4 linked regions of the Diceros bicornis minor genome follow. The protein of the gene in region 4 interacts with the protein of the main gene of each other region in a pairwise test. Links are inferred from orthologs where the notes say so. Each region holds a gene or a part of one and is shown on either strand. Other genes may lie near its edges.

The links.
Region 1: the proteins of TLE5 (region 4) and KIFC3 interact in binary tests that used the Homo sapiens proteins (3 or more experiments, as listed by UniProt). The two-hybrid records come from large-scale screens. The link is inferred for Diceros bicornis minor from reciprocal best matches to the Homo sapiens genes TLE5 and KIFC3.
Region 2: the proteins of TLE5 (region 4) and SMAD3 interact in binary tests that used the Homo sapiens proteins (3 or more experiments, as listed by UniProt). The two-hybrid records come from large-scale screens. The link is inferred for Diceros bicornis minor from reciprocal best matches to the Homo sapiens genes TLE5 and SMAD3.
Region 3: the proteins of TLE5 (region 4) and BYSL interact in binary tests that used the Homo sapiens proteins (3 or more experiments, as listed by UniProt). The two-hybrid records come from large-scale screens. The link is inferred for Diceros bicornis minor from reciprocal best matches to the Homo sapiens genes TLE5 and BYSL.

Annotation. Positions count from the first base shown.
Region 1 is NC_080771.1:11,205,506-11,212,748, reverse strand, and holds the start of KIFC3 (kinesin-like protein KIFC3), read left to right. Parts: upstream 1-4,231; 5' UTR 4,232-4,722; coding exon 4,723-4,740; intron 4,741-5,037; exon of another isoform or gene 5,038-5,105; intron 5,106-7,243. UniProt on the Homo sapiens protein: Minus-end microtubule-dependent motor protein. Involved in apically targeted transport. Required for zonula adherens maintenance.
Region 2 is NC_080744.1:61,121,087-61,128,365, forward strand, and holds the start of SMAD3 (mothers against decapentaplegic homolog 3), read left to right. Parts: upstream 1-4,279; 5' UTR 4,280-4,768; coding exon 4,769-4,974; intron 4,975-7,279. UniProt on the Homo sapiens protein: Receptor-regulated SMAD (R-SMAD) that is an intracellular signal transducer and transcriptional modulator activated by TGF-beta (transforming growth factor) and activin type 1 receptor kinases.
Region 3 is NC_080753.1:23,515,728-23,523,687, reverse strand, and holds the start of BYSL (bystin), read left to right. Parts: upstream 1-4,952; 5' UTR 4,953-5,241; coding exon 5,242-5,509; intron 5,510-7,960. Other genes in the region: MED20 (mediator of RNA polymerase II transcription subunit 20), read right to left, coding at 1,936-2,090, 4,699-4,712. UniProt on the Homo sapiens protein: Required for processing of 20S pre-rRNA precursor and biogenesis of 40S ribosomal subunits. May be required for trophinin-dependent regulation of cell adhesion during implantation of human embryos.
Region 4 is NW_026691553.1:2,386,390-2,394,323, reverse strand, and holds the start of TLE5 (TLE family member 5), read left to right. Parts: upstream 1-4,919; 5' UTR 4,920-4,990; coding exon 4,991-5,017; intron 5,018-6,118; coding exon 6,119-6,216; intron 6,217-7,934. UniProt on the Homo sapiens protein: Transcriptional corepressor. Acts as a dominant repressor towards other family members. Inhibits NF-kappa-B-regulated gene expression. May be required for the initiation and maintenance of the differentiated state.

The sequences.
Region 1 (7,243 bases), on a different chromosome or scaffold from region 4:
CCTGACCTCTAATCCCAGTGTTAACCATTGCTCTATACTGTCTCCCCTTAATATAGTAATAACATCTGTTCAAGGTCAAGTACCAACAAGAAAGTCCGAGCCAGTGACAATAAGTTAAGGGTGGCGGGATTTAGGGACTTTTTCTTCTCTTGGTTTCTCCTACATTTATGCAGGAAAAAAAAAATTGAAGTTAAAAAAAAAAACAGCCACCTAGAATTTGCAGCAGATGGGGAAAATGAATGGGGAAGTTGAAAAGAAGCAGGATTGATGTTAATAATGCATGCCTTGGCTTAGAAGAAGGAGCTGGAATGATTTAGGAGCAAGGAGGGAAGCCAGGAGCTTTTGGGCCAAGGAGCCCAGGCGGGAGAGCTGACTCAGAGGGAGGCGGGGAGGGGGCGGGCCTTATCTTCCCCGGCCGTTCTTGCTAAATCTTTTTATTACCTGGTGCTTAAGTACACATCTCCTTAGTGTTTGCATTCCTCTCATTTTTTAGACTACAGGAAATGATAAAGAGGGGGAAAAAAACCCCTCTGTTTGCTTTCCACCCTGGAGAGCTCAGAGGGGGCTATCTCTGCCAAATTGTTCCTCAGGTCAGAAAGAGGTTTTAGGTTCCCCTCCCCTGAGAGCCAGGAAGTGCTGCTAGGTCCAACCTCCCTGGCAAATGCAGAAAGGGAGTCACTGTCCAGGGATTTGAAAGCAAGGTGGTTTTATTGGGGGGAGGGTGGCCTTGGTTCCCTGCAGAGACCTTTAGAAATGGGAGAACTGTTCCCCTGGTAATACAGCTTCTGGCAAGAAGGTGCCTTGGGCAGGGATGGGGAGGGCACAGAGGGAGCTGGAAAGGGAGAGAGGGGAGAAAGGTACCATTTGTTCAAATCTATTGAGCACCTAATGCCCGTAGGAGCCCAGTCTGTAGCAGACAAGAGCGACCAGAAGGTACGGTCCAGCCAAGGGTCATCCAGGACCCCACCCCTTCATGTCCACTTGGGAGCATGGCTTCCTGAGAGCTGGCAGGTGTGAGCCAAGAGGCAGCCCGCCTGGTACACCCAGAGGTCGGGTACAGCTGGAGAGGAGTCACACTCCTGTTTGCAGGGCCGGCTGCAGAGCCCTCCCCAGCCCCTCCTCGGGCTGCTCCCTGGCTCTTTCTGCGCTGTCCAGGACAGACTGTTTCAGGGGTATCTGAAGATGAGGATTCAAAACAGCAGCTAATTGAGTCAGGATTACTTAATATGTGACTCAACTCCAGAATGGTGTTCTCTAACTTCAAGTTTTCTAACTTCAACTGTTTATTACCCAGACTCGTGCAAGGATATACACTTGTCACAGCTGCAGGGTGCTCCTTACAGACGACACTGAAATAATTCCTTAAGGATTCTTCTCTGACTTCCGATAAGAACGATCATGAATTTATACGGGAAGAAGGTCTGCTCGGATATGCTTCATGCACCCTGTTCTTCCTGTCTGAATTATACGTGATCTATTTATTTATTCAATAAAAACTTACATGACGCCAGGCACTGCAGAGGCTTTCCCTGTGATCAAGTCAGGAAAGGGCCCTGCCCTCAAGGAGCTGATGGTGTAGACAGGAGGGGTGATTACAATCCAGTGTGGGGGGTGCTGCAGGGGGATGAGCAGTAGGGGGACTGTGGTCTCTGCGGGGGTCAAGGAAGGTGACCTCTAAGCTTGAAGGACTTGGAGGAGGAGTCGGCCAGGTAAAGGAGGGTGGAGGCAGGTGGGAGCGGGGCGAAGTGGAGGACTTCTGGGCAGGAAAAACAGCATTGCGGAGGCCTGGAGGCGAGCGAATCTCAAGTGAAATCGTTAAAACCGGAAAATCGTGTACATCTTACGTGTGCTTTACTCTGGGTTACTATGAGAATCAGATTCAACACAATCTGGCTTGTTATTCCTCTCTTTTGGTTTCCTTCTGGGTGGAACTCCTTTGGCCTGGACTGTGGCTATCTTTCTGATGGATGCCTGAGAGTTAAGGGGCTTCAGGCTCTTAGAACACAAAGATGGCGCTGCCACCCCCCGCCTGGGGGACCGAGTGGATGTGGATACGGATCTGCAGTGTTCCGGTCACTGCTTTGTCTGGCCCTCCCTGAGACAGCTCTGCCTCCCCCAGAAGGTGGGCAGGAGGTCAAGACCAAAGGCTGAACCCAGGAGTCCTCACTCATGGGTTCAGGACCCCAGCGTGGGATGGCCAGGTTTCTGGCAAATCCTCCACCTTCCCTGTGGCCAGGGGAGAGTTGGCAGCCTCCACATGAAACAGTCAGCGAAGTTCCTGGGATAAAAATGACCTTGAAGTCATTGGTATGCACTTCCTGGTGACATTGTGCATTCTTAAACTAAATTCCAACAGTCATGAAGCAATTTGTTTTCCCATTTCGTCAGAGTTTTGCTAGAATTCCGAAAATTCCTCCTCCTAACACCTCAATTTTCTTTTTTTTCTGTGAGGAGATCAGCCCTGTGCTAACATCTGCCAATCCTCCTCTTTTTTCGCTGAGGAAGATTGGCCCTGGGCTAACATCTGTGCCTATCTCCCTCCACTTTATATGGGACACCGCCACAGCATGGCTTGCCAAGCAGTGTGTCCGTGTGCGCCCGGGATCCAAACCGGCGAACCCCGGGCTGCCACAGCAGAGCGCGCGCACTTAACTGCTTGCGCCACCAGGCCAGCCCCTCAATTTTCTTTTTCTTTCACTGGCGCTTTGATCTTAATAAACTCTTGCAGCTGTATACATCTGAGAATACTGTATGTATGTGTATCTACGTACACACAGACACCTATTGGGTTCCAGTCTCAGCTTTATCACACACCAGATTTGTGAATGAACTTTCAGAGGCTCAGTTTCCTCTCCTGAAAAACTGGGGATATGATGGTGCCCCCCTCATAGGGCGTTCAGGGTTAAATGGGATCTTGTTTCTAAAGAGCTTAGCACAGCGGCTGGCACCGTATTAGCTTAGAATAAATGGTAGCTATTATGTGCATAGAAAAAAAAAAGACTGTACTGAAATGTTGGCAGCATTTATCTCTAGTGGGTGGGATGATGGTTACAATGAACATCTATTACTTTTGTAATCGGAGAAAAAGAACAATAAATGTTATTATTAATTTAAAAATCTGGCTCTGGCTTTGGCAGAAGGAGCCTGCAGTTAGTGTCAATGTACCAGCCAGCGAGTAAGACAGGGGTTACACCAGCACTGTGAAGGCAGACGCTACCCCCCCTCCAGTCAAAGACTATAATAAAGGGAGGTACTTGGTCAGGCCTCTAGAGGAGTTTCACCCTCATCCATCCTTACCGTTCCCTGGCCACTGCTGTCTGGAGAGGCAGGCAGGGGGACTCAGAGAAGGTAACTCTCAAATTATGGCCTTCTCTCCCATTGACGGGGTTACCCAGGGTTCTTAGCTGGAAATCTCTAACTCTCAATGGACCCATCCCAGGAGAGTGACATCTATCCTCTACTGGGCCTTCACTCAGCATCTCAGTTAGAAAATAAAACACACACTAGCTCACTTCCTGTAGGGGGATTGCGAGTGTCCAGGTCTGGCATCCAGAACAATCTGGGCCCAGGACCTTGGCTCTGTCTCCCGTTGAGATGCTTGACCGCCAGCCCAGCGCCTGGGCAGCTGCAGGGGAGAACCCTCCTGGAGCTGCACGCCCCCTCCAGTGCCCTCCTTGCTCCTCCTGGGCCATCCCCTGACAATCAGGAAGGGGCAGCGTGCCCACCCTCCTCAGATTGTCTGCGGAACCATCAGCCTGCACTGGGCTGGCCTCCAAGCTTCATTCTTTCTCCTCCTTCCACAGCCTGGAGGGGGAACATTGCTGCAGACTCTGGAGTAAATGCCACCTCTGTTTGGGAGACAAAGAACAGAGTAGCTCCTCTGGGTCAGCTGCCTCTCCTTGGCTGGCTGGCTCTCTGCCTCCCCGAGGCCTCTTCCAAGGCATCCTACAAGGAGGGCCTTCCGGGGCTACACCGGGAGCCGCTGCCTGCTCCCGGAGCTGCTGCACTCAGAATGTGTTTTCATGGGAGCTAAAAGGAATATTTTACCTTAAAAAAATCCCAAGTAGCTTGCCTGCTCTGGAAGATGTAAATTTGCCTGGTGGGGGAGGTGGGGGTTGTGGGTGGAGCTGTGGCTGGGGAGGCAGCACGGCCTATGTATTCCTACCAGAGCTAGTGGGAGCATGTGTGTGATAATGTGTAAAAGTACGTGTGTGTAACTAGAGTGTGTAAGAGCACGTGTGAAAGTGTGTACTAGGATTTAAAAGAATGTGTATACTGCAATGTGACCGAATGTGTCCTAGAGCATGTGAGGGAACATGTGTGTGAGCATGGGGAAGTATTTGTGTGAAAGTATGAGTGTGGTATGATGTGAGTGCATGTGTAAAGTGTATGAGAACATGTGAAAGTGTACACACGTATTATCTAGTGTCTAAGAGCATGTGTGAAAATGTTGCTAGAATGTGAAGAAAACACGTGTACTAGAATTTGTGAGTGTGTCAAGGATGGCAAGGGAGCACATGTGAGAAGTGTGTGTGAGTACTAACCAGAGTGTGAAAGTTTTGCACTAGCATCTGAGGATGTATTAGAGTGTAAGTGCAAAAGCATGTACATATGAACTGGTGTGGGATGCGTGTGAGAACTGTGAATGCGTTCGTGTGTACTAACTAGAGCCTGTGCGCGAACATATGTGTGCTAGTGTAAGGGCCATGAGGACGTACGCCGATGTGCGTGCACCAGCAGGTGAGCGCTCACGTGTGCACTAGCGCGGGCGGGACGCGGGGAGCGCGGAGCCCAGGGGGAAGGTCTGGGGGGACCAGGAAGGCGGCGGAGCGGGCGCCCCGCGCGGGAGCGAGCGTGAGTGCGCGCGGGAGCCTGTGCCGGAGCGCGCGCGCCGCCCCCCGCCGGGGTCGGAGCCGGTTGCCATGGGAACGCGCCGCGGCCCGAGTTAATCATTTCCTGTGGAAAGTGTGCGGGAGGGGCGGGAGCGGGGCGGGAGCGGGGCGGGCCGAGGAGGCGGCGGCGTGGAGCTGCCTCCCGCCGGCGGGCCGGGCCGGGCCGAGCCCCGGGCGCTGCGGCGACGCCGGGATCCTGCCTCCGCCAGGCCGGTGAGTCGGGGGCCCGGGCGGGCTGGAGGTGGGCTGGGCGCTCGCGGTCCGCCCGGCCCGGCGTTCGGGCGCCGCGTGCGGGCCCGCCCTGCCCGCGGGACCCCCCTGCCCAGACCCTCTGCGGGGCGCGAGGAGGGCCCGGCCCAGAGGACCTTGCCCGGAGCAGGGCATGGGGGCGGCACGTCCCCTGGGATCGGAGCAGCCTCGGGACCCCCTTTGCAATTTCATTGGCCCAGGAGAGCCAGACCCTCCCGGGGAACCGCGTGCCAGTCAGCGCCGCCCCCTCCCCGGGCAGAGGTCGCCGCACCCGCAGGGCGCCCTCGAAGGCTGCAGTTTCGGGCCCTCCCACCACGTACGTCCCCTGGGCAGTTCGCTTTCCCCCTCGCAGGGCCGGGGGTGGGGCGGGCCAGTCCCGAGGTTGGGAAGGAGGGCCTGGGCCGCTGCCTTCGTGGGCACTGGGGAATTGAGCCATTGACATCGGCAGCCTGGGGGGTCCCAGCAGCGAGGGCGAGCCGGAATCCAGCTCCTTTAGCCCCCTGTTGTGAGTTAGAGCAGAACTCTGGCGCAGTGAAGGGCCTGGTTCTGGGAGATTTTAAAGAGGAAGCTGCATTTAAATTCTCAAGTAGCATTTGCAGTCTTCCCTACCCCGAACACATCTTTCTTAAGGTTGGAGGTGGTGGCCACCCCTGGACTTTCACCTTCCCTGGCTGTCCCTCCGCTTGAGCCTGGGTGAACACCTATCTTTGCCCCTGCGGCGCATTCCGCACGCCCTTGATAAAGTAGCCCTCTCCTTGGCCAGGGAGAGCCTGCATTTGCAAAGAATGCAGTCTCAGAGTGGGGCCCTGTATTTGCAGTGACCGGACTTCAGGGACATAGGGTGATGAGTTCTGCTGTCCTCACCGGCACCAGGGAGCAGAGGCTTTGAAATCTGGGTTGCCCTGGAAAACCCAGGATGTGTGACTGTGGGCAGGGGAGGTCCCAACCCTTGTCCAACCTCCCTGACCTTCTGCCGGCTCTCCCAGGGAGACAGCCCTCCCCAGCAGTGGTCTCTGGGCGGTTGTCAAGTCTGTCCCTCAGTCATTGCAATATCCCTGGTCTGGGGGGAGGGGGCTGCAGCTCTACCACCTGGGGCTAAACCCAGAGAGGCAGATGCCCCTCCCCCTCACCTGCCCCCCCTGCATTCACCCACCACTGGAGGGAGGTCACTGAAAAATAAAATTTTTGAGTTCTTTATACATGCCGTTATTGTTCTGAACACTTTATATATGCATTGTCTAATCTTTACCCCAACCCTATAAGGTGGATTTCTCCCCATTTTACAGATGGAGATAGTGAGGCACAGAGAGACCACATAATTCTCCTAGGGTCACACATCTAGTAAGTGGCACAGCCAGGTTCTGAGCCAGCTCCACTGTTATGCTCCCCACTCCGTCACCCCACCCCATGACCTAGGTGGGTAGAGTCTCCAGCCTTGGGCTTATTTGAGAGTCCTTGATACTTTTGACCTTCACAGCCCTCCCGCTGCTAAATTCAGCTGCCTTTTCCTCTTCAGGATCTTGCACACGCCCTTCCTCTTTCTTCCTGATATCTTCCTGGCTGCCTCCCCAACTTCCCTTCCTGAAAGCCACAGATTCTTGCCCCTCAGACTTAGCTGATCTCCTTAAAAGTCTTTCCCCTCAGCCGTGGAACCAACCTTCGATGCCCTACGCCGTCTCACCTCTCCAGCAGCTTGGTGGGCAGGTGGAGCCTGTCTCTCTCCCTCCTTGCCCGTCGGGCCGCTGGTCCTTGGGGTTGGTTGTGTGCCCAGCTCTGTGCCAAGCAGCCTGGAGAAGAGGGCATCTGGCTGCTGCCCCTTCGACTCTACACTGGTCCATCTCCAGTTCCTCTGTGGAGCCCGCCCACATATCTGGATTAGCCTCCGCCGGGTTCTTTGGACCACAGCCCCCTCCCAGTGAGACTGCCCCCAGGAGCCTCCTCCTCCAAGTCATCTTCCTCCCGCAAGGAAGGCAGAGACCACGACTCCGACTCCGAGCCGGGAGCCTGGCATTCTGCCAGGGCTCTGCTCTGCGAACATGGGTCACCAGATCTTCGGACCGCCCAGCCCTGCGCTCATAGTTCTTTTTCGTCTCGATGCTTCC
Region 2 (7,279 bases), on a different chromosome or scaffold from region 4:
ACATTTTGTTTATCCATTCATCCATCAGTAGACAGTAGAGTTGCTTCTATCTTTTGGCTATCATGAATGATGCTGCTATGAACACTGGTGTGCAAATATCTGATAAATACCTGTATATACCCAAAAGTGGAATTGCTGGATCAAGTGGTAATTCTACACTTAATTTTTTGAAGAACCTCCACACCGTTTTCCACAGTGGCTGTAATATTTTACATTCCCACCAGCAATGCACAAGGGTTCCAATTTCTCCACATCCTTTCCAACACTTTTTTTCTATTTTTTTTCTTTGATAATAGCCATCCTAACGGGTGTAAAGTGGTTCAATGTGTATTTTTTTATTTATATGACCTCTTTCAAAATGTATACAATTGTTTTGTATATATGTCATTTTTTACATAAGGAGCATTATGTTATTTATTTCATTCTGTGTGTTACTATTTTCACTTGGAATGGTTTTTAAGATTCATCTATTTGTTTTGTGTATACAGAACTCATTACTTCTAACTTTTGCATAGTAGTCCACGGTGAGCATCAGTCATGTCTATGTATACTGAGGATGTACTATGTGCTTGTGGCAAGCTCTCTACACCGATTATTTGATTCCTTACAGCAATCCTAAGAGGTAGGTGTTATTATTATTCCCATCATATGCATGAGGAAACTGACAAACAGGGAGTTAAGGGACGTGCCCAAAGTCACACAGCTGGAAGTAGTAGAGCTAGAAGTTTAACCCAGCTCTGCCGGGTGCCCCGGGAGAGCTCGCGTGTGTCAGGGGCTACACAGAGCTACAGACCAAGGCTCTCTCTTAGGTGAGGGCACTCTGATGAGAATCCTAGTCCTGACCAGATCCTGACTTATCTCCATATTGCCAATCACCTCCCTTCACTAGACATCACTTTATGTCTCTGCAAAATGAAGACAGGACAATTTTAATGCTCTTTCTAGAGTCACCACTTGTTGATTAAACCTCCGTTAGCTAATGGAAAAATAATCAGAACTGAAGTCAGGTGTTCGTTTCTTTCCAGTATTCCACATGGGAGCTGCTCCAAACACACAAAAACCCTTTGGCAAGTCGGCTAGTGAGGCAATTCCCTGATAGGACTATTCCCAGGGAAACGGAGTTGTTGCCTCCGGCCCCATCCCACCTCTCTTGAACTTTGCACTTACCATGATGAAAAATTAACCGGGCAAATGTTTCCCTTCCAAGGACAACCTCTACAAAAGCCTGCCTGGCTGGGCCCCAGGAGACCAGGCGCCAGAACGGAGTTCCTATGCATCCAGAGCCACCCACCCATTCACTGCCCAAAGTCAAGGGAGCATTTGGGGTCCCCCTGGCACTGGGAGGAATCCATTCCACAGCCCTCCTCGCTGCTTTGTGAAACGGGGCTTCTTCCCTTGAGTCTTCTCCTGGAGAAAGCGAGGCCAGAGGAGCAAGAACTAGCCCAGAAATGGGACTTCTTGGACTCACACCTGGGTCCAGCACTGTTTTTCTGCGTTCACAGCTGTCCGTGTCACATGGATGCCTGCATGTGAAGAAAGTGCAGGATAGCATGGTTCAGCTGCCCTAACTAGCTGCTGACTAGTTATTTCCTCCCCTCAGGAAAATGAGAGGGCTGAACAAGGGGCCCTTCCAATGCCATGATTTTAGGGGTTAGGTACACGCTAGGCCCATCCACTATATTTAATCCTCAGATCTTTTCTCCTTACTCCATAGTGCATATCACCTCCCTTCACCAGATACCACTTCTGCCTGTGTAAAATGAGAGGCTTGCATTGGAGGAGAACAATTTTAATGCTCTTTCTAGATTCACCACTCTGCACAAGAAGAACGGTTTGCTCCACTCTTATAGCTGAAAGAGCAAATGCTCAGTGAGGTGAAGGGAGGGAGAGAGCCAGGATTGAAAGCCAGCTTGGTCACTGATGGAGCTTGACGTCCTTTTACTTTATCTGCCTGCCTCTCAACAGTTGGACCTGCTTGATTTGATGTTCAGGTTAAAATTAATGTTCTACCAGGAGATAATGATTGCAAGGGCCCCTTTCTCCCAGGCACACACCTGCCACCCCTTGGTGTTTCTCCAGGCTGTGAGGTCCTTGAGGTTAGGCACTTGCATCTTTCATTTCAGCTTTCCCAGAAATGGGTAGGAGGACTGAAACACAAAGGTTCTCCATAGATCCGCCTCGAACGGAACCGAGCTCCCTCATCCGCACTCTGTGACAGGCTCTCCACGGCATTTCAGTGACCCCAAGGTGTGGTCCTATTCCTTTACAACACTTGACTGTTTGCATTAGATTTCAACAACCACCCTAGGAGGTGGAGAGCAAAGCTATTTGTAGCCCCATTTTACAGGTGAGCAAACATTTCTTGTAGAGGCACAATAGCGAGCCTGTGTAAAGAACTTTTGTTTTGCAAAGAGCTCTATCAATGATGTCATCTTTGCCTTCCACAACTCTATAAGGCAGCTAGCTGGGTGCAGTGGCAAGAACTGGGACTGAAGCCTCACAATGCGTGGGGTTCAAATTCCAGCTGTGCTGCTTGGAATCCTGAGTAAGTATTGTAATCTCTCCGCACCTCAGGTGCCTCCTCTGTGAACGGGAGGCAGAGGGACATCCACCTCAAGGGCCATTGTGAGGATTAAATTAGATGGCAGCACTTGGGCGACTTGGAATGAAGAAAGCCATCAATAAAGGTTGATTGCCTTCCTTCCTTCTCTTTTTTGATGAGGGCTGGGAAGAAGGGAGTGAAACCTAAGACCATAGCAGCTGCGGGTCAGCTGGAGGACCAGCAAGGAACAGGAACCAGGTCGTTAAGCCTCAGTTGGGGTTCAGGGATTCTCCTTTAAGGGCCAAGCAGGCGGGGAGTCAGGAGGGGAGGGCAGAGAGCGCAGCGCTCAGTGGCAGCAGCTGACAGGCCTGTGGGAGGCCGTTCTCTCCACAAGGCAGGGACCCCTGCAGCTTCTGGGCTGACTTTGTGGATTCAGCCACACCTCACAGGGTTTTGTAACTCCCCACTGGCTTGAGGGTTTGCAGATAACTTCTTTCTCACCACGGGGGTTTCCTGCTGTTAAAAATAAACAAAGCTCTTAGACACCGGGCTAGAGGCCTGGTAGGGGAGGGTCAGCAGAGGAAGGCCCTGGGGCTTGGGGTAACTCCTGAAAGCAGCCGAGGGGTCTGTGGGCAGATGCCCCTGAATTCTGCTGGTGGGGAGAAGAGCCCCCGAGCCCCCCAATATCCCGGTGTTTCTTTGCTTCCCACCAAGGCTAACTTTGAACACATCGACTTCCCGAGCACCGCCCTTTTGCCCCACTTTTTGCGAGTTCACAGCTTTGGAAACAAAGCTCTCTCTCTTTCTGTTTATTGGGTGTCGAATTTCGGATCTTTCTGTATCATAAGATTCAAAACACCCTGCAATGTCATTTTTCCCCCAAGATAAATTCTAAAGCGTCCCGATTCATTCCTTCACGAATTCAACAGATGTCTTTGAGGCCTATTTTCTGCCGGGCACTTGATTCACAAAGCCCAAGGGACCCCTGGCTCCAGCTATTACCTAGGGTGTCACTGGAGTCCCCAAATCTCCCCTTCTGAGAGCCCACTTCTTCCCCATCCCAACTTCCTCCTTCGCACACAGCCTTGGGGCTCTCAGCCGGTGTGATCTCACCGATGAGAGAATCAAAACAGCCCCCGGGGCGCCAGCGCCGGCCAAGGCCCCGGACCGGGATCAGCGCGCGCGCGTCCACGTGCGCCACCACTTCCCGGGGCTCAGCGTTCCGTGCGCCCTCTCTCGGACCCGGGTCCTCCCAGGGGTACATCGCCAGCCTTTGGTCTGAGGGCGCTCATTCGCTGCGAGTCTAACCCTCTCCGGCCGGCAACTCCAACTGAGCTTCCCGAGTGTGGGTTCCCAGAGCGGACGCCACCGCCCGAGCCCAGCCCTCCCGCCTAGGGCCCCTCTCGCCGCTCCTTTCCCACGACTTCCTCCCGGCGCCCGCAAGACTTCAGGTCCGGGCCGCGCGGGGTCCTACGCGCTCCAGCCAGGGCCGCCGCTGTCCCCGGCCGCCCGCGTGGGCGTGCGCTGCGCCGGGCGGGGGAAGGCCGGGCGCCCTCCCGGACGCTGGAGGCGGGCCGGGCGCCCGGGGAAGGAGGCGGCGGGGCGCGGGGGAGGAGGCGGGGAGCCCCGGCGGCAAGGGGGCGGTGACAGCGCCTGGAAAGGAGGCTGCACGCGGATTTGCATGAAACACAGACTGGGAGCGGGCGGGAGCGGGAGCGCGGCGCACGCCCCGGGCCGGCCCAGCGAGCGAGCGAGCGAGGGAGCCGGGAAGGAGGAGGGAAGCGGGGAGGCGAGGCTGCTGAGGCGGAGGGATCTGCGCATCAAAGCGAACAAGGCGAGCAAAGTTTGGCTGGGGGTTGGACTTTCCTTCCTGGAGGCGGCACCCAAACAGCTACCCCGTGCGGAAACCCAAACTTTCTTTTGCCACTCCGAGTCTCGCGGCCGCCGCCTCCGCCCCGCGTTCGGGGCCTGCCCGACCCCGCGCCGCTGTCGGCCGCCTGCCCGTCTCCCCCGCCGGCCTTCTCCCCGCCGTGGGAGCCGCTCGGGGCGCAGGGCTGCGCGCCGAGCCCCGCAGGCTGCAGCGCCGCGGCCCGGCCCGGAGCACGGGCAAGTTCGCCGAGAGTTGAGGCGAAGTTTGGGCGGCCGCGGCCGGCCCCGGCCGAGCGCCCCTCTGCGCCCCCGGCGTCCCACCGCGCGCAGCCCCGCCGGGGGCGCCCTCCCCCAGCCATGTCGTCTATCCTGCCCTTCACCCCGCCGATCGTGAAGCGCTTGCTGGGCTGGAAGAAGGGCGAGCAGAACGGGCAGGAGGAGAAGTGGTGTGAGAAGGCGGTCAAGAGTTTGGTCAAGAAGCTCAAGAAGACGGGGCAGCTGGACGAGCTGGAGAAGGCCATCACGACGCAGAACGTCAACACCAAGTGCATTACCATCCCCAGGTGGGGGTCCGAGCGACCCGGGGGCGCGCCCGCCCAGCCCCCTGGCGTGGCGTGGCCGGCCGGGTGGGGTTGGAGCGGGAGGGAGAGTGTGTGTGTGTGTGTGTGTGTGTGTGTGTGTGTGTGTAAGGGGGGGTGGGAGCGCGGACAGAAAGGGGTTAGAGGGGACCCCAAACAAAACCTTCTCTGGATTTGCAAAGATTCATCAGAGCCTGGGGCTTCCACGCGGCACTCTCACTTCCAGACCTCACATTCGCTTTTCACCTCCGGGAAACGGGGGTGCTGCTGGAATTGGCCACCCCCACTCCGGGGAGCTGCGGGCTAGAAGTTGAGGCCCGCTTTGTTCAGCTCCGCGGGCCCGAGCCCCTCCTCCGCCGCCGCCTCCCGCCCCCGCGGCCCGCGCTCGTGGAGGTGGTGGTGTCTCTCCCTTTCTTTTCTTCAGTCTTGTCCCCCCACTTCTTTCCTCCTCAACAGGAATGCAGTCCGTACAGCTGGGGCTGTGGGTGAGGAGCGGGAGCCTCATGATTGACAGATTCCTTCTTCGTTCTTGCTTTGCCTTCGGGATTAGCATTTTTATCGAGTATTTTTAGACTCGGTTGTGCCAGTCTCCCGCCCCCTCCGCACACACGCACTTTAGTTGCAGTGCAATGCTCTGACTTTCAAATGAGAGACAAGTGGCAGAGAGTAGGGTCTTCTTCCCCGCCTCCCCCGACTGTTTTTGCTCTCCTTTGAGTCTGAGATTGCGGGTAGATGCAGAATAGAGGGGGCTCAGAGCCAATGAGATAACAAAACGCACCCCAAAGTGGGCCTCGCCTCGGCCCTCGCATTCCTGCAGAGCCCTCCTTCCCAAAGCGCTTTGCCATCTGTCTGGACCTCCTTTATCCTCCACATTGCGCTAGCTAGGTCAGGCGGGAGCTCACAGATGGCTGATAGAAGGGGTCAGTGACTTCTCTGCATTCCCCAGGGCCTTCTCTTAGCTTAGCTGCGCCTGGCTGAGAATTAGGGGGTGTGTGTGGGGGGGTTATCTTGGCCTTCTGTCTCTCCCTCTCAGCCCCCTTTAAGGTCTGATTCTGCGCCAAGGGAGTGTGTGTGGGGTGGGGGATGTCCTTGGGGTCCCAGGCTGCAGAGGAATGAGTAGAGGGTCCCCAGGGCCTGAGCCCTGCAGAGATTGTCATCCTTGCTCCTGGGCCGGCAGTGGACTCCATCCTTGGCCACCTGCTCGGGGCAGCTGTGCAAGGGCTGCCAGTGGTGTCAGGCAGGCACAAAGCAACATCTGTCCGTGGGAATCCGGGGCAGGCCTTCTCTGGAAATGAATGCCACATATGGTGGGAGTGCTGACTTAAAAAATAATAATTTTTTAAAAAACTGGGTGGATCTAGTCAACAAAGGGGGAGCGAAGGCAGTGTGGTGTCTGGGAAGTGCGCTCTGGGCGTGTGATCTGGAGCCAGAATGGACTTCAGAGGAGGTGGTGTGATGTGGTGGTCAGTGAGCCCTGGGTTCTGGTCCCAGCTCTGGTTCTTAGTTCTTCTTTATCCCTTGGGTTGGGGGTTGGGAGTAGGGTGAATGAGTGTCCTACTCCGCCCCCCCCCCCCGGGGGGAGGGGTTTCCAAAACCTGTCTTCTTACCTGCCTGGGTGCATTGATAATAAGTGCTTTATGCCTTGAAACAGAAAGAAAAGATGGTATCAATTATAAAACGAGCAGCTGCATGAAGTGTTTTCCAGTTTACAGAGCACTTTCACATGGTTTTATGAGATCCAGAAAGAAAGAAACTCCTGGAAAACAGATAAAGCAGTTAGGCTTAAGATTGATCTCACTTTTAAAGTTGAGAAAACTTTGGAGGTGAGAGGTGGAAAGGCTTGACATCGCAGACATGGGATTCTGACCAGAAGTGCTCCTTCTCCTACCCCATGCTGCTCTTCACCTTGAAGTTCTGGGTACATTCTTTCCTGAATGCCAAAGCACTGTTAGCTAGGGGGTGAGGACTGGAGGGGGGGCAGTGTGGATCTTTGTTGGTAAGATTGCTGATGTTGAATCTGTGGGCTGGTGACAGCCTGGAGGAGAGGCCTGGCTTCCCCTGGCCTTGGTGGGAGTTTCCCTCTGGGGGAGCATGGCTCTGGCCTGCCTCCAGGGTCCTGCAGCCTGAGGCCTATGGATGCTTTGGTGTTTCTGCGAGTTCAGGCTAACTTGCCCCCTGGCTTTCTCATGACTCTGTTAGGGCCTCTGGTTGCATCTGGAGGCATCTTCTACCTGCCTGGCAAGGACTTAATGCTGAGGCAGATTTTTTTCATCTTTTCTCAGCTAGGGAA
Region 3 (7,960 bases), on a different chromosome or scaffold from region 4:
TAATCACAACAAAGTACTTTCACACCTGCATATATTTGTGAAGGAAGTAGAACTAGCATTACTGTTCCCCTTTTACAGATGAGGAAAACGAAGCTAGTGGGTCCCAGGCCAGCAGCAGAAGCAGCAGCAGCAGCACCTGGAACTTGTGAGAAATGCAAATTCCCCGCCCCACCTCAAACCTGTGAATCACAAACTCCGGGCGTGGGGCCCAGCAATCTGTGTGTTAACAAGCCCCCTGTGATGCTCACGCTAGTCAACTGTGAGAACTTCCGATCTGAAGACACAGAGCCAGTAAGCAGCAGAATCGGAACTCCAATCCAGGCCTCTGACCTCAAGTTCATCTCTCTTTTCATTCTACCACACTGCCTGCCACTGATATGGTGTCTCCCCAACTAGACTACAGCTCCTTGAAAGTAAAGGTCTGATCAGGAAAACAGCCCACACAGGCAGTTTCATAGAAGTAGTATGCCATCTTATAACTACATACAAATGCCTTGTTTTCCAAATGCTTTCATAACCGTTATCGCTTTTGATTCTTACTTCCTTCCTATTGAAGGCAAAATAAATGGTAACACTGCATTTTTATCAACAATGAAATGCAGTACAGCTGTTAGCTACCGTTTATTAAATATTTATTACATGACAACCTCAGCTCTAAGTGCTTTGCATGTATTAACTTATTTAATTATCACAACAACCCTACGAGGTAAGTACTATGACTACCTTCATTTTACAGATGAGAGAACTGTATTAGGAAGGGTGCAAACACAGAGCCCACACCAGATAGCTTCATTAGAGGGGATTTAATACAGGGAGCGAAATACAGGGGTTGGAAGAACTGAAAAACAAACGGAATGGTGAGGCCACCCAAAGATTAGCAACACAGGGAGCCACCACCATCCCTAAAGCTGGAAGGAAAAAGAGAAGATATGCTGTTATAAGAGCCAGGAACAAAGGCTGCCTTGCAGGAGCTAGAAGCAAGGAGGAGTCACAGCCATAACCACTGCCCAAAGCAGAGGGAGAGGGAGTGCAATACTGTGGTCTCCCTTTCTCCCATCCTCTAATCTTCCCCAGTGCCTCTCACTGACCCAAGGTAACTGAAAGGGGGCCTGGCAGTTGTAGTGTGCAGGTCAAGGGCAGGGATGAGATCTATGGGAAAAGAGGCAAATGACCGACATAGAAACAGTCACAGGTCATGGGACTTAGCTAAAGTTGCAGTTAGCAGAGCCAGGACTCAGTTACCTGGTTCCGAGATCTAGGCTCTTAATCACTGGTATGGAACTGTCCAAGGTCAAGTTACTGCAGAGCCAAGACTAAGAGAACTCAGGTTCCCTAAGTCATATTCAAAGATCCTCTTTGCCTCCCTACCACCATGACCATCCACAGCCCATCTCACCTCTCAATACATTTAAAACAAGAGATGATTCATTGGTCAAGGTTATGCTAATGAGGTAGCCAAGGCCACTGGCTAGGTGTGGGCAACAGGAAGCCTTTCTGCAGAAAATTCTGAAAACTCTAAAGCTCTACAAGAATCATATCCGAAGACTTCTGAGCCTAAAAGGAGACTTTCTCAAACTTCAGACTGCATAAAGATCATCTGGGAAGGTTGTTAAAATGTAGATTATGAGGCCTGTAGCACCAGTCAGTCGGTAAGCAGGGCCAGGAATCTGCACCTTTAACAAGTAACTCAAATGATTTAGTCAGTCAGTGACCAACCCTCCAAGAAACACGGCTTTAAGAATGCAAAGTGCAAAAAGACTAAAACATAGGCCCAGTCTAAGAGATGAAGGACCAAGAATTAATGAATTAAGAAACACCTGTGCCACACGTTTAAGAATACCACCTTTAGCAGAAGAACAGAAAGATTTCAATGAACATGAACATCTATCAACTCCAAGCCAGGTTCCAGCCATCACACAGACCCTTCTCACTGACCTTGACTGCCAAGGGTAGAGGCAGCCGTGTGGTAGGTCTCACAGTCCACACAAAATGTTCCTTGCTTCTCTGCCCCAAGCATCTCCAATTTCCTGGTGAGGAGCTCCACGGTCTGCTGGACACTCTTGCCCTCAGCGACAGGCATCTGGGACACACTGGAAGGGAGAGTACCAAACCATCAATATGCAATGACACATGTGCACTCGCTGAACCACTCACTCACAGAATCACAGCTCATCAGGGCCAGAAATTAACTTCGAGACCACTGACCCTGACCCCCTCATTTTAAAACAGAGGAAATAGAGGCCCACGGTCCCTGAGGACATCTCTCAGGACTCGCAGAGAAGTGCAGTGAACTTCCTATCTATCACACCAGCACTTCCCAAGCGTAGCATGAGAAAATTTTAGGTGGCACACAGACTGAGCCCTCGATAACACTGAGTTGTATAATGAGCTTTGTGATTCTTTCACTTCTGACTGTATGAAGGAGAAAGCCTCAGTTTGGGGATAGTGTATTTTTACCAACTCTACAACACTTTGAACGTGCACTGTCCAGTACAGCAGACACAAGCCACATGTGGCTATTTACACTTAAACTAATAAAACAAATTAAATTAAAAATTCAACTCCTCTGCTGCAACCACATTTTAAGGGCTCAATAGCTCAATAGTGGCTGGGGGCTAGGGTACTGGACACTGCTAATATACAACATTTCCATCACCACAGAAAGTTCTATTCGACAGCCCTAAGATCAAAAAGAAAGCAAGCCTCGAGTTTATAATCTTCGGGGATGAGAGGCAACAGTACGTACAAGAATTTAATCAAAACAATGAAACAAAAAACGTTATTTCCAAGATTTCCTTCTATGGTGAGTGAAATTGGCTTCCCCTTTAGAGGGGTGGGTAAAAATCACCAAGCGCAAACTATGTGCCAGGCAGTGTCCAAAGGCCTTCAGATGAATTAAGTCTTCCAATCCTCACAACAGCCCTATAAGATGTGCTATTATTTATCTCCTTGTTACCAATGAGGAAACTAAAGTACAGAGGGGTTGAATAACTCACACAAGGTCACACAGCTTGGTGTGCTGTAGCAAAGATTCAAAGCTAGGCAAGCTGGCGCCATGTCCACACTCTTAACCACCATACTGGACTGCCTCCCTAGGGACACAGTTGCCTGTTAAATACTTTAAAGGAAAATAAATAGATTTAAAAGAAAACACTAATAAATAATAGTAGAGCTGGTACTTGGCTATACAAAAGTCCTAAGGAGAATCATATGTGAGTGAATGTTGGGAGACACTGCATTACTTTAGGATCAGTCAACCAAATGAAGATATAAAAGTAGAGTCCTGACGTTGCTAATAATTGTCACTACTCTCCATAAGAAAAAGCACTGATAGGGCCGGCCCCGTGGCTTAGCGGTTAAGGGCACGCGCTCCGCTGCTGGCGGCCTGGGTTCGGATCCCGGGCACGCACCGACGCGTGGTTTCTCCGGCCATGCTGAGGCCGCGTCCCACATACAGCAACTAGAAGGATGTGCAACTATGATGTACAACTATCTACTGGGGCTTTGGGGGAAATAAATAAATTTAAAAAAAGAAAGAAAAAGCACTGATAAGCAATGATAATGATGTGCCTTATTTTGAAATATAAGAGACTCCCTAAACTGATGCTACTGAGGTCAGAAGTCCTAGGAGTCGGAGAAAGTTGATAATGGTCCCAAAAGAGAGCCCTTCCCTCTGTAGGCCTTCTCTATTGAAAGAACAGGGGCTCCAGGGTTCCAAGCCTCTGTGCTTCAAACTTTGCATTCCCATCGCTCACATATCCCCTTACACTAGAGAACCTGAGGAGGCTCTGATGACAACTGTAGGAAACAAAGGTGCAATCACCAACAAACCTCAAGAACCTGGGTTATCAGGAGGAGTAGTGCCCACAGGTTCTTATAGAAGAAGCCTACAGCCACTAGCTTCAGATATCCTGGCCTCCAGCCCTCTCTGACTGGAAAGATGTTCACACTTCCCGGTATTAAAAAAAAAAAAAAAAGCCCTGAAATCTAGCATTTTGGAACTAATGCCTCCAAGAGCATTAGGCCCACACCTTTCCCTGCCACCCAGACTTATAACATGTTAGAGCTAATAAGTCCATAAAAACTAGACCAACCATGTAATTAAACATAGTAGGAAGGGATCCTGAAAAGGTGACATGCCTGGAACCCCAATCTCCTAATTCCCAATAGCTTCTTTTTTACCTCTAGACAGAGAATCTTAAAATGGTCAAACTAGAACCAGATACAGGCTGGTCTAACTGCATTTAGCGGCTGTAAGGAGGAGCAGGCGAAAACCTAAAAAAGATACTGTCTCCTCCTTGCCTATCCCTCAACCCCTCCAGACCTGCCTGCAGATGGATCCTAGTCCGGACATCCTATTTCCGACCCTAAAGTTCCACCCCCAGCAGTACCACAGCCCCACGGGCAGGCATATGGACCAAGAAAAAACGAACGAGGTACACAACCATTGATGGGTTCCTGGGATAAAACCTTTTACCAGCCGCCTTCCAAGAGGAAGGGGCGCATCTCTGAGGAAACAGGCCCTGAGACTCCGCGACCCTCATGGTGTCCCCCTCACCCACACAATCCGAGGACATCTTGCTCAGCTCCTGAGGGACGGCGGACCCTGATCTCGCTCCTCCTCCCGGGTACAGTCCAGGCTCCAAGGGCCCCTTCACGACCCCAAGCCCCGCCCCACAAAATCCCTCGCACTCCTACCAAGTCACTCCCATGGTGTCGGGCCAGGAAGGTGGCAGGATCCAACAGCTGAAAGGCAGCGCTTTCTGGCCGCCCACGCTAAGTGAAGCCCCCTACCGCCAGGCTCGCTGGAGGGAGGTGCTCCGGAAATGACGCAAAAACAGAGCGCCCAGTCGACGCGCCCACGAGGAACAGGGGCTTGTCTAGGCGCCTCCTCGGTGACGCATGCAGTGACGTCACTGTCCGACCCTGGCCCAGGCTTGCCGCGGGAGAAATTCTCATGTGGCCGGGCCTAGATCCATGAAGCTAGGAAAGCGTGGCTCGGCCTGCCACCACTTAGAGAAGCCAACGTTAAAGGCAATGAGTTTATTCAGGAGTCCTGCTCCAGGACCAGTGAGCTCTTTTAGGGGGTGGGGCGTCGCTGATGGCACTCCCGGCCTCCGAACGCTAGGGAACGCTGTGATCGCCGTCTCGCCTGTTGGGCGCGGGGTTCACTGCGCAAGCGCAATCAGGGCTTTTTCCCGTCCCCACGTGTGAACCTTCCCGGCGAGGTTTTCGAGAAAAATGCCCAAATTCAAGGCGGCCCGCGGGGCCGGGGTTCAGGAAAAACATGCGCCCCTGGCCGAGCAGATCCTGGCTGGGGACGCGGTGCGGGCAGGGGCCCGGGAAAAGCGGCGGGGCCGTGGAACCGGAGAAGAGGAGGAAGAGTATGTGGGGCCCCGGCTGACCCGACGGATTTTGGAGCAAGCGCGGCAGCAGCAGGAGGAGCTGGAGGCCGAGCATGGGACCGGGAACCGGCCCTCGGTGCCGCGGGAGCGCACCACGCGGCTGGGTGAGTGGCGGGGGCTGGGTGCGAGGAAGAGCGCGGTTAATTGGAGTGGACGGCTGAAAGATGTCCGCCACGGGAATAACTTGCAATAAAAAATAAAAGGAGCGTGGTTTATATTACCACCTTGCAAAGGTAATGGAATGGGAGACCCAGCCCTGGAGCGAATTTAGGGTGGTCAGAACCCTCCACGCCCACTCATAGTTTTAGGCACTCCTTTCTAGGCACCCCCGAAGTTATGCCAACAGGAAGCGATTGCTCACGCTACTAAGTTTTCCTAGCATTTATCCATTTGTTCTCTAATTACTTATGGGATGTCTACTACGTGCTTCGCACTGTGCTAGTTTAGATGGTTTGGGTAAAGAAGTAAACAAGATAGACTTGTGCCTGATTTCAGGATATTAAAGTCTAGCCCAAGAGAGAGACAATTAAAATAATAATTGTAATATATTATTATAATAATATTACATTAATACTATTCTAATAATAATAATAATCTCAACGATAAAGAAAGTATAGTTTCTCAGATAACAATAGCATTAACCTTGGGGGTCGGGCTTCCCAGATTGCATGACCTTTGTGCTGAGACCTGAAAAACCAGTGCAGAGTGTTCTGAGCAGAAAGAACAATATTGTGTAGGGGCTAAAGAGGAGAGAGATTAATTAAAAGGTGGTCAGTATTTTTTTATTAGGGTGAGTGTTGCCCTCCGAGTTGCTTAATCCATTTCTCAGATCTCATCTTTCATTTGTCCGGAGAGCAGCATTTGACACAATTGAACACCTGCCTCCTGGCTGCAGTATCTTTACTTGACTTCTAAGACAGTGCATTCCTGTTTCACTACTTCTTCACTTCTCAATAGTCTTTTCTGGCTCCTCTTTTGTCCCCAGCCTCTTATCATTCAAGAGCTGCAGAGTTCAGTCCTTGCACCTCTTCTCGTCACTTCTCTGGTGCTGTCATCAGTTTCATGGTTTAAACACCATCTATTTGGTGACTTCTCCCAACTTTGTATTCTAGTCCTGCTTTCTTCCATGAAGCACAGACTCGTATATTTCAGCTGCCTATTTGGCATCTCCCATTTGAAGTCTAATAAGCATCCCGATTTTAACGTGTCCAAAACAGAAATCCTGACCTTCTCGCCAAACCTGCTTCTCTCACTGTCTTCCTCATCTCAGTCAATAGCATGATATCCTTCCTTTTGCTCAAGACAGAACCCCTGGGCTCCTCTCTTTCTTGGTCCATATCTGATCTGTTAGGGAATCCTGTTGACTCTACCTTCAAAATATATCCGGAATCAGACCACTTCTCACCACCTTGGAACACCATCCTGTTCAAGCCACTGCAATGTCTCGCCTGGATGATTGCAGTAGCCCCCTAATTTAGTATCCCATACCCCCTATAGTCCACTCACAGCTCAACAGCTAGAAGATTACAGCCGTCTACAAAGACCTGTGTGATCTGCCCCTGTTGTTCTCTTCACTCCACCCATATAGGCTTCATTCTTTCTTAAACATGGCGAGTTAGGGCCGTGGTTGTTCCTTCTGTCCTCATACGCCTGTAGGCTTACTCCCTTAGTTCTTCACCTTCTCAGAGAGGCCACTCCATTAAAAATGGCAACATCCCACCCCTGTCTCCACACTCCCGAATGTCTCTACTCTGCCCTGTTTTCTTTTTTCATAGCACGTGTCTTCTTTTAACCTAATATATATCATATTTATTCATCTGTCTCCCCCATTAGAATGTAAGCTCTGTGAGGGTAAAAAGTTTTGTTTCTCTTGTTCGCTAATATATGTTCAGCACCCAGAACAGTGCTTCACATATAGTAGGCACTCAGTGTTTGCTAAATGAATGGATTAATGAATGATGGTGAGGTAGGTAGGAGCCAAATCCACAAAAGACTTGGAGGCTGTGCTCAGGATTTAAAGCCATTCTAAAGACAGTGAGAAACTATTGGAGTATATGGAGACCAGGTAGGGGATTGTTGAATTAATCCAGGCAAGAGATGATGCTGCTCTGCTTAGACAGAGCTGTGAAGGATCTGGGAGATATTCTATGAGGTAGAATCGAATAGGACTTGGTAATTGATTGAGTGTTGGGGGTGAGGTCAGGGGACGAGGCAGGCCTGCTTCCCAGGTTCTGCCTTAACATTGGGTAGATGGTGGTGCCAGTGTTCCACATGTGGAACACAGTGAGTAGTGTAGACCTAGGAGGGAAAGAGAATGAGTTTGGTTGGTGACAGGTGAAGTTTGAAATGCCTGTGGGCCATCAACAGTGGCTGTACAGATGCAAGTGTACTTCCCATAATGAGCCAACATAAATTGTTGAAAAGATAAGATGACCCTTTTGTGAATTCTATGGAGGAAGAGGAATAAAGGTTGTTACAGGAAAAAAAAAAAAAAAAAGAGTGGCTGTACAGGAGGCAGCTGGAGTTAGAGTCTGCAAGGAAGGGAGATCCACCGA
Region 4 (7,934 bases):
CGGTCACGCAAGGGAAGTGTTGGACCTGTTTTTTTTATCTTAAAGTTTGAAATTTTGTTCATTAGGGAAATTGTTTCATTTGTTGTGATCTGTTCAAAGATTGCCTGATGCAAATCAAAACCACAATGAGATGCTACGTGGCATCCACTAGGATGGCTATCGTGAGTTTTGTTTTAAATGGACAATAATAAGTGTTGGCGAGGACGTGGAGAAATTGGAAGCCTTGTGCACGGCTGCTGGGAATGTGAGATGGTGCAGCCGCTGTGGAGGACAGGATGGTGGTTCCTCAGAGAGCTAAAATAGAATTACTACATGATCTATGGCAATTCCACTCCTGGGTACACACTCAAAAGAAATGAAAACATACGTCCACATCAACACTTGCATACGCGTGTTCATGGCGACACTGCTCACGGTTGTCAGAAGATGGAAACAACCCAAGTGTCCATTTGATGATGGATCCACACAGCGTGTCCACCCACACACTGGAGTATTACACAGCCGTGAAGAGGAGTGAGGCCCTGACACAGCCACACCGTGGACGGACCCTGAACACACGACGCTCAGGGAGAGAACCAGACACAGAAGGACACACGGTGTGTGAGTCCATTGATGTGAAATGTCCAGAACAGGCAGATCCGCAGACAGAACGTGGGTTCATGTTTGCCAGGGGCTGGGGCAGGAGGATGGGAATGACTGCTAATGGAGACGGGGCTTCTTTTTGAGGTGATGGGATGTTCTGGAACCAGATAGTGGTGATGGCTGCACAACATGGTGAATGTATTAAATGTCTCTAATGGTAAACTTTATGTGTATTTTACCACAATAAAAAAAAATAGATTGCATTCAGATGTGAGGTCTGGGCCAATTTTCCTCACCAAAAAAAAAAGTCTTAAAATAGTGCTTACTGTGTTGACCGAGATTTTTGGGGTCCCCTTAAATGTTAAGCCTGAAGAAAGTGTCTCACTTGAAAGTACACTCAGCCTGGTCCCAGCCCTGCCTGAATGAACCAGGGAAGTCACAATGAGGCCACACTGAGAAGGTGACATTTAAGCCAAGACTGGGAGGAGACGAAGGAATCAGCCAAGCTGGGATTTGAGGATGAGCGTTCCAGGCAGAGGGCACAGCCCGTGCAAAGGCCCTGGGGCAGGACCGGGCCTGGCGTGTTGGAGGAACAGGGAGGAGCCCGTGTGGCTGGAGCAGAGGGAGGAGGGGGAGAGAGGGAGGAGAGAGGGCAGGGAGGGGACGGGACAGGTCGTGCAGGGTCTGGTGGGCAGCAGGGAGGACGTGGGCTTCTCCCCCGAGGGAGGTGGGAGCCCTGAAGGGCTGCGCGCAGAGGAGGGAGGGGACGTAGGTCAAGTTTTAAGCCTGTCAGCTCTGCAGGGGAAGGAATTTCGTCCTCCTTGGTCACTGCTGTAAACCTCCACTAAGAAGCACCTTGGCACACAGTAGGTGCATAAACATTTACTGAGAGAATGAATGAATACTGGCTCCATGTGGGGAAGGGGGGACTCAGGTGCAGAGCAGGAAAGTCCCGGGGCCTCCAGCCACCCGGCGGGGTCGTGCCAGGCCGAGCAGGACGGCGGAGGCTCCCGCTCCAGCAGCCCCACGGGGGAGGCCCCGGGCGGCCACCTGTTTGCTCCGGCCCCGATGAATGGCCGGGCGGCCCCATCCATCAGGCACCAGGCGGTGCCTGGCTCTGCCCAGCGGCCGCGGCCCCGCGCATGTCTAAGCAGCCCGCGAGGCCGGTCCCCGATGGTGGGATCCAGGAGACACGTCCCCGCCCCGACCTGGCCCCAGCGGTGGCCCAGAGGCCCCGGGGAGAGGACAGAGCAGGACATGGAGTCGGGGACGGGTGGGGGCCGAGGGGTGTGGGGGGCAGCCACCCAGACAGGAAGAGCTCAAAAGCCCCAATTCCCCCCAAATTAATTACACCATCAAGACTGTGCCCTCCTGGGTTGGGGCTCTGGCCGTGCCTTTCCCTCCCCGGCCGTGTTCCGTTCTTTCTGCCCCCAAAAGCTCCTCCACGCACTGGGCCTGCCCCAGCCCGCCCCTTCCTAAACCCCACTTTGGGCGTGCCCCTGGTCTGCTGGCCTCCCACCTGGCCTCGTCTATTCCATGACCAGCGAGAACCTTCCACCATCTGGCCCTAGAGGCCTCTCTCTGCTGCTCTAAGCCAGGGCTTCTCAGCTGAGGGCGACTGTGTCCCCCAGGGGACACTGGCCATGTCTGGGGACATCCGTGGCTGTCAAGACTGGGGGTGCTTCTGAGCATTGAGTGGGTGGGGCTGGGGATGCTGCTCAACCCCCTACAGTGCCCAGAACTGCCCCCCACAGAGAATAATCCAGGCCAGAACGCCAAGAGTGCAGTCTCAGAAACCTGCTCTATAGCCTCCCACGGCTTCCTAGTACCCTCCAGGTCAAGTCCCCACTCCTCAGCGCTGAATGCAGGGGCCCGCACCGTCCCGGCTCCCGGCCCCCCGCAGCCAGTATCCCCCCATGCCCTGCCTTTGTGCCCCACCCGGAGGGGCAGTCTTGCTCAGCGGTCAAGGGCCCGAGGACCTGGGTTTACATCCCGGCTCTGCCACCTCCCGGCTGTGTGATTTTGGCCAAATCACTAAACCTCTGAGTGCCTTAATTTTCCCTTCTTTCCAATGGGCACAATGGCTGCACCTAAGTTAACATGGGAAAGGCAGGGCCTGGTGCATGGTGAAAACATACACAGGTGGGTTGGTTTATTATTGCTCATGGTTTGGGTCAAAATCCTGGGCTGAAAGGCCCAGCTCTGCCCCCCAACCAGTCTGTGCTAAGTGGGAGTGCTGGTCCCCAAGGGCCAATACTGGGGGGTGCCTGCCTGGATGAGGGCCAGGCGCAGACGGCCTCCCACGAGAAAGGTGTCTGGTCCCCATGGTCCGGGGGGAGGGTGGGGATGGGGACAGGGCTGGTTTCACCGACGTGAGTCTGGTGTTGCCCCACGGGGTCCTGCACTCCAGGCCCCGGCGCCTGCTTTAATGCTCTGTTGTCACCATCTCGAAATTTCTAACCACTTTTGAACAACAAGTCCTGCCATTTCATTTCAGCCCTGGGCCCTAAAATTCTGTAGCCCGCCCCATCAGGGACTCTAGGACGATTTGTGGGGTCTGCGTATTCCAGAACCCGATGGGAATACCGAAGAACTTTCCCAAACTTGTTCCTTTTTCCTTCCAGCCTCAGGACTAGGGAGACCCTGCATTTTCGAGACTCGTCTGCGGCCCCCTCAGATGCTGTCTTATTTAATATGTGGATATTTTGCGCATTATGAATTTTTGGGGGCATTCCTTTTTATTTTTTAAAATACTGCATTCAAGTATTATTTATCTTGAAGGCTTTTTGCTCTGGGGGGAGACTTAAAATTTTGCTTATTTATGTCACCCTAGTCCCGGCCCCTCATGTGCCCAGGAAAGGGGACCGGGGTCCTAACCATTTTACAGATGGGAGAAGCAAGGGCCCAGAGAAGTTAGACACATCCAGGGAGGCAAGCTGCACAGACGATGACGAGGAGAATTCAGACTGCGGTTAGCACGTGCCAGGGGTTGATGGGCATTATTTCAACAGCTTCTCTGAGGTCTGTCCTCCACGTGGCCGCGAGCAGATCCCATCAAAATCTGAGTCAGAGCCGCCCCTCCTCTGCCCACAGCCCTCCAGTGCCCCACCTCTCTCAGGGGAAAAGCCCGAGTCCTCCCCTCGGCCCACCAGGCCCTGCACCATCTGCCCTGGTCCTGTCACCAGCTACAGAATTTGCAGGGCCCAATGCAAAACGAAACTATCAGGCCCCTCCTTCAAAAATTATTAGGAATTTCCAGACCACAACAGTAGATCATTAACCCAAGCGCAGGCCCTTCTGGGAGCCGGGCCCCTGTGCGAATGCGTCAAGCTGCTGGCCCTGCCTCCCTGCCCTGGTTTCCTCCTATGGTCCCCCGGTGCCAGGCACAGTGCTGCCTCAGGGCCTTTGCACTTGCTGCTTCTGCCTCCCTGAACGAGCCTCCACGCCGGCAGACCTCCACCAGCTCCCTCTCTCAGCTTCCGGTCCTCTCTGCTTCAAGGAGGGCCTCTCTGCCTCCCTCTGTTTGAAATCGCACCTACCTGGCCCTGCTCTCTGCCTTATTTTCTCCATAGCTGTTACCACCATCTGACCCGCCAGGGACTTGGCTGGTGTCTTCGTGTGTGTTCGTCTCTAGCGTGCCCCATGTCGTCTCCCCCAGAGTAAAGACGTTGTCTCCACCCCCCGCCCTGGCCCCCACGCCCTGGAGCAGGGCCTGGCACACAGTAGGCGCTCAATGAACGCGTGGGGAAGGCACGGCCCCCAGGAGGCCGGCGGTACCGCCGCCGCCTTGCTTCCGAGGAGGAAACCGAGGCTCGAGAGAGCAGCCGGCGAGCCGAGGCTGCAGAGCGTGTCCCTGGCACGCGTCCAGGTCGCGCCATGACAGCCGGCCGTGGCGAGGGGGCGGCGGGCCCCTTTCCTTGACAGATGGGGAAACCGAGGCCCCCGCGGCCGCCAGGGCCACCGGGGCCGCCGGGCGGGGGGGGCGGGCGCGCGCCGTGCCCAAGGTCACCGCGCCGGGCGAGGGGCGGCCCGGGGGAGGGGCTCGGCGGGCCTCCCCGGGCGCGCGCCCCCCTCGGCGGCGCGCACGGGGCCCGGGCGGCGGCGGCGGCAGGTGGAGCGGGAGCCTCCGCGCAGCCGAGGCCGCGGCCCCGCCGGCGGCGCCGCCATTAGACAATAGGAGCGGCGGGGAGGGCGCCGGGCGCGCAGGAAGCGGGGCCCGGGGCGCGCCGGGGCCGGGCGCGCGGGGAGGGGGCGCAGGAAGCGGGCGAGGCCGGGCGCGGGAGGCGGCGGCGGGGCCCCGGGAGCTGCCGATCGGCGCCGGGACAAAGGCGCGGCCGCCCGGCGCCCCGAGCCGCCCGAGCCGGGGCGCACAGCCGGGGCGCAGCCCGCGCCCCCCGCCGCGACTGACATGATGTTTCCACAAAGCAGGCATTCGGTAAGCGGGGCCCGCCGGGGCCGCTCGGGGCCCGCGCCCCCCCCCAGGTCGGGGCCCGGCACCCCCCTCCAGCTCCAGGCCGTGCGCCCCCCCCCAGATCCGGGCCCGGCGCCCCCCCCAGGTCCCGCGTCCGGCACCCCCAGTTCCCAGCCCGGCCATTTCCCCCCCAGGTCCGGGCCTTGTGCCCCCCTAGATCCGGGCCTGGCACCCCCAGTTTCCAGCCCGGCCATTTCCCCCCCAGGTCCGGGCCCTGTGCGCCCCTAGATCCGGGCCCGGCGCCTCCCCCCAACTCCTGGGCCCTGTCCCTTCCAGCTCCAGGCCCAGCGCTGCTCCCCCCCCAGCTCCCAGGGCTCCCCCACCACGCAGCTCCCAGTCCCCCTCCCAGCTTCCGGGCCCGGAGTCCCCCCCCCCAGCTCCCTGGCCGGGTCCCCTCCAGCTCCCGGCCCTGCGCCCCCGCCCCGCAGCCCCTGGGCCCTGCGCCCCCCCACGGAGCCCGGCAGGGCCTGAGCGGCCTTGGCGTCGGGCCTGGGGCGCCCCTAACGCAGGGGCTGCTCTCGGTGCCCGGGAGTGAGGGGAGATCCGAGACGCACCCCTCCCGGAAGGGCCCGGAGGAGGGGTGCCGGGAATCGGGGGGCCCCCCAGGAGATTTGGGGCGCTGAGAGGGGCCCCTCCCCCAACGGGACTTTGCAGGGAGGCCTCGCTCCCTGCCAGCTTGGGGAGGGGGCTCCCCGGGACGCGTCCCCACCGCCCTCCCAGAGGCAGTCGGGGCGCTCAATGTGCGCCCCCCTCCCTGCGCTTTGGAGGGGCGGTAGAGGGCGCACCCTGGGTCCCCGAGGGCGGGCCTTCAGCGCACCCCCCAGCCCGGGGGTGGCGGGGACAAGGCGGCTCCGGGGCGCGCCCACCCCCTGGCTTCCCTCGGGAGAGGCAGGGCAGGAAGCGAGGGCGGGGGCGCGCCGGGGGCTGTAAACACCGGCCCGGGAAGTGGGGCGCGGGGGGCGGGGGCGCTGCAGCTGGGCCTGCCGGGCCTCAGGGCCGCCCGGGAGGGAGCCCCCCCGCCCCCCGCCCGGCCCTGACCCTGACCCGGCCGCCCCCTCCCCGCAGGGCTCGTCGCACCTACCCCAGCAACTCAAATTCACCACCTCGGACTCCTGCGACCGCATCAAGGACGAGTTCCAGCTGCTGCAGGCCCAGTACCACAGGTGAGGAGGGCGCCCCCGCGCAGGCGCAGCACCGCGGCCTGGGGCGAGGTCGTGGCCCCTGCTGTATACATCCTGAGCACTGGACCAAGAGTAAACTCACTTCCTCTTCCCAACAGTCCCATTTCACAGATGGGAAAATTGAGGCGCAGAAAGTTAAATCATTTGCCCGAGACTCGTGGCTTCAGAGCCCCCCTCCCACCCCCATCCCTACTGGATAACAGACCTCCCAATAACTGTCGGGGGTCCCTCCACCCGCCCACCCCCCCAAAAAAGAATTCTGTAGCCTGCTATACGTCTCTCTGCTAGTTTTGCAGAAAGCGTCCCGGCAGCCAACAGATTCTCGAAGGTGCTTCTCCCTCCAGAATGGAATCTGCTGACCTGTCTGCAGGGCCTGCCCTCTGCCCCATCTGAGGGGAAGGAGCTATTGTTATCTCCATTTTCCGCCTGAGAAACTGAAGCCCAGAGAGGTTAGGGATTTCCCGGGGACGCACAGCAAGCAAGTGGCGGAACTGAGAGTTGCACCCGATCTCTCTGGGTTGAAGAAGGCCTGGGGGGGCGTCCAAGGCCTCTCTGGACCTCAGTTTACCCACACACAAGTGTTCTTTGAAGGATGCTGGGTTTCCTCGAAGAAAAAAGGGAGAATAGTGAGTTTTTCGGTTTTTTTACAAACATCCAGCCTCTTGGAGGTGCTTCTTAGACTCCTCATGTGCTAAATACTGAACAGACATCCTCTCGTTTAAATCTTTCTTGTTGTCCCATAATCGTGCCCATTTTAAAGGTGGGGAAACTGAGGCACGGGCAGTTGGAAGGCAGGCCCCAGGAATTTGTTCTGGTCTGCGATGTGCAGGGGTCTGGTTGGCCTTTCCGAGCCCCTCCAAGGGGTCCTCCGCTCCCCGACCCCGGCCCTGCCCCCCGCACAGTGACCGTGGGGTGGTCCAGTCGCAGACACCGAGCGTCATATTGCTGCCACAGTGCTGTGTGACCTCGGGGGGGCCAGAGCCCCTCTCTGTGCTTTGGGGTCTCCGTGCACTGGACCCGCACTTCCCTCTATCCAGTGAGGGGCCCTGGCACGTTGGGGGCACACACCAGATCTGCCAGGAATCCAGAGTCTGGGATGAGATTGCGATTTTCTTTTTTTTTAAGTGGGGTTAACAAATGCGCATTTTTAAAGCAAATTAGAGAAAATAAACTCGTGGAGGCCACGGCGACCCCAGCTGCTGTCCAAGTCCCGGTCAGTCTGGTGGAGTGAAGCGCCAGGCTCCTGGGGTGACCATACGATCACCAAGCACTCATTAGATGCTTAGTGTATGCCAGGCGTCGTCCTAAGAGCGTTTCTGGTCTTAATCCGTGTCATCCTTGCCAGCCCACCCCGGGAGGTGGGTACTTAACAGACGCAAAGATTGAGGCCCAGAGGGGTAGAGACGTTGGCCCAGAGTCACACAGCATCGAAGGAACACGGCGGCGTTGAACCCAGTCCGGCAGCCTTGAGTCTGTGCTGTCGGCTCCCCCTTGGGGGGCTTCGAGAAATGCCCGCAGCTCGTCCTTACTGGGGGAGGCCGGGGTCACCATCCATTACCCAGCAGTGGAACTTGCACCTCCTCATGAAATCAAAGCCCACGGCAGGGGGGGGCCTGGACCACCTTGGGGATTCCTCGGTGAGTCCACCCCAGAGCCCTCCAGCCGGCCCCCGGCCTCTCAGCCCCTCTGCGGTCTCGGCC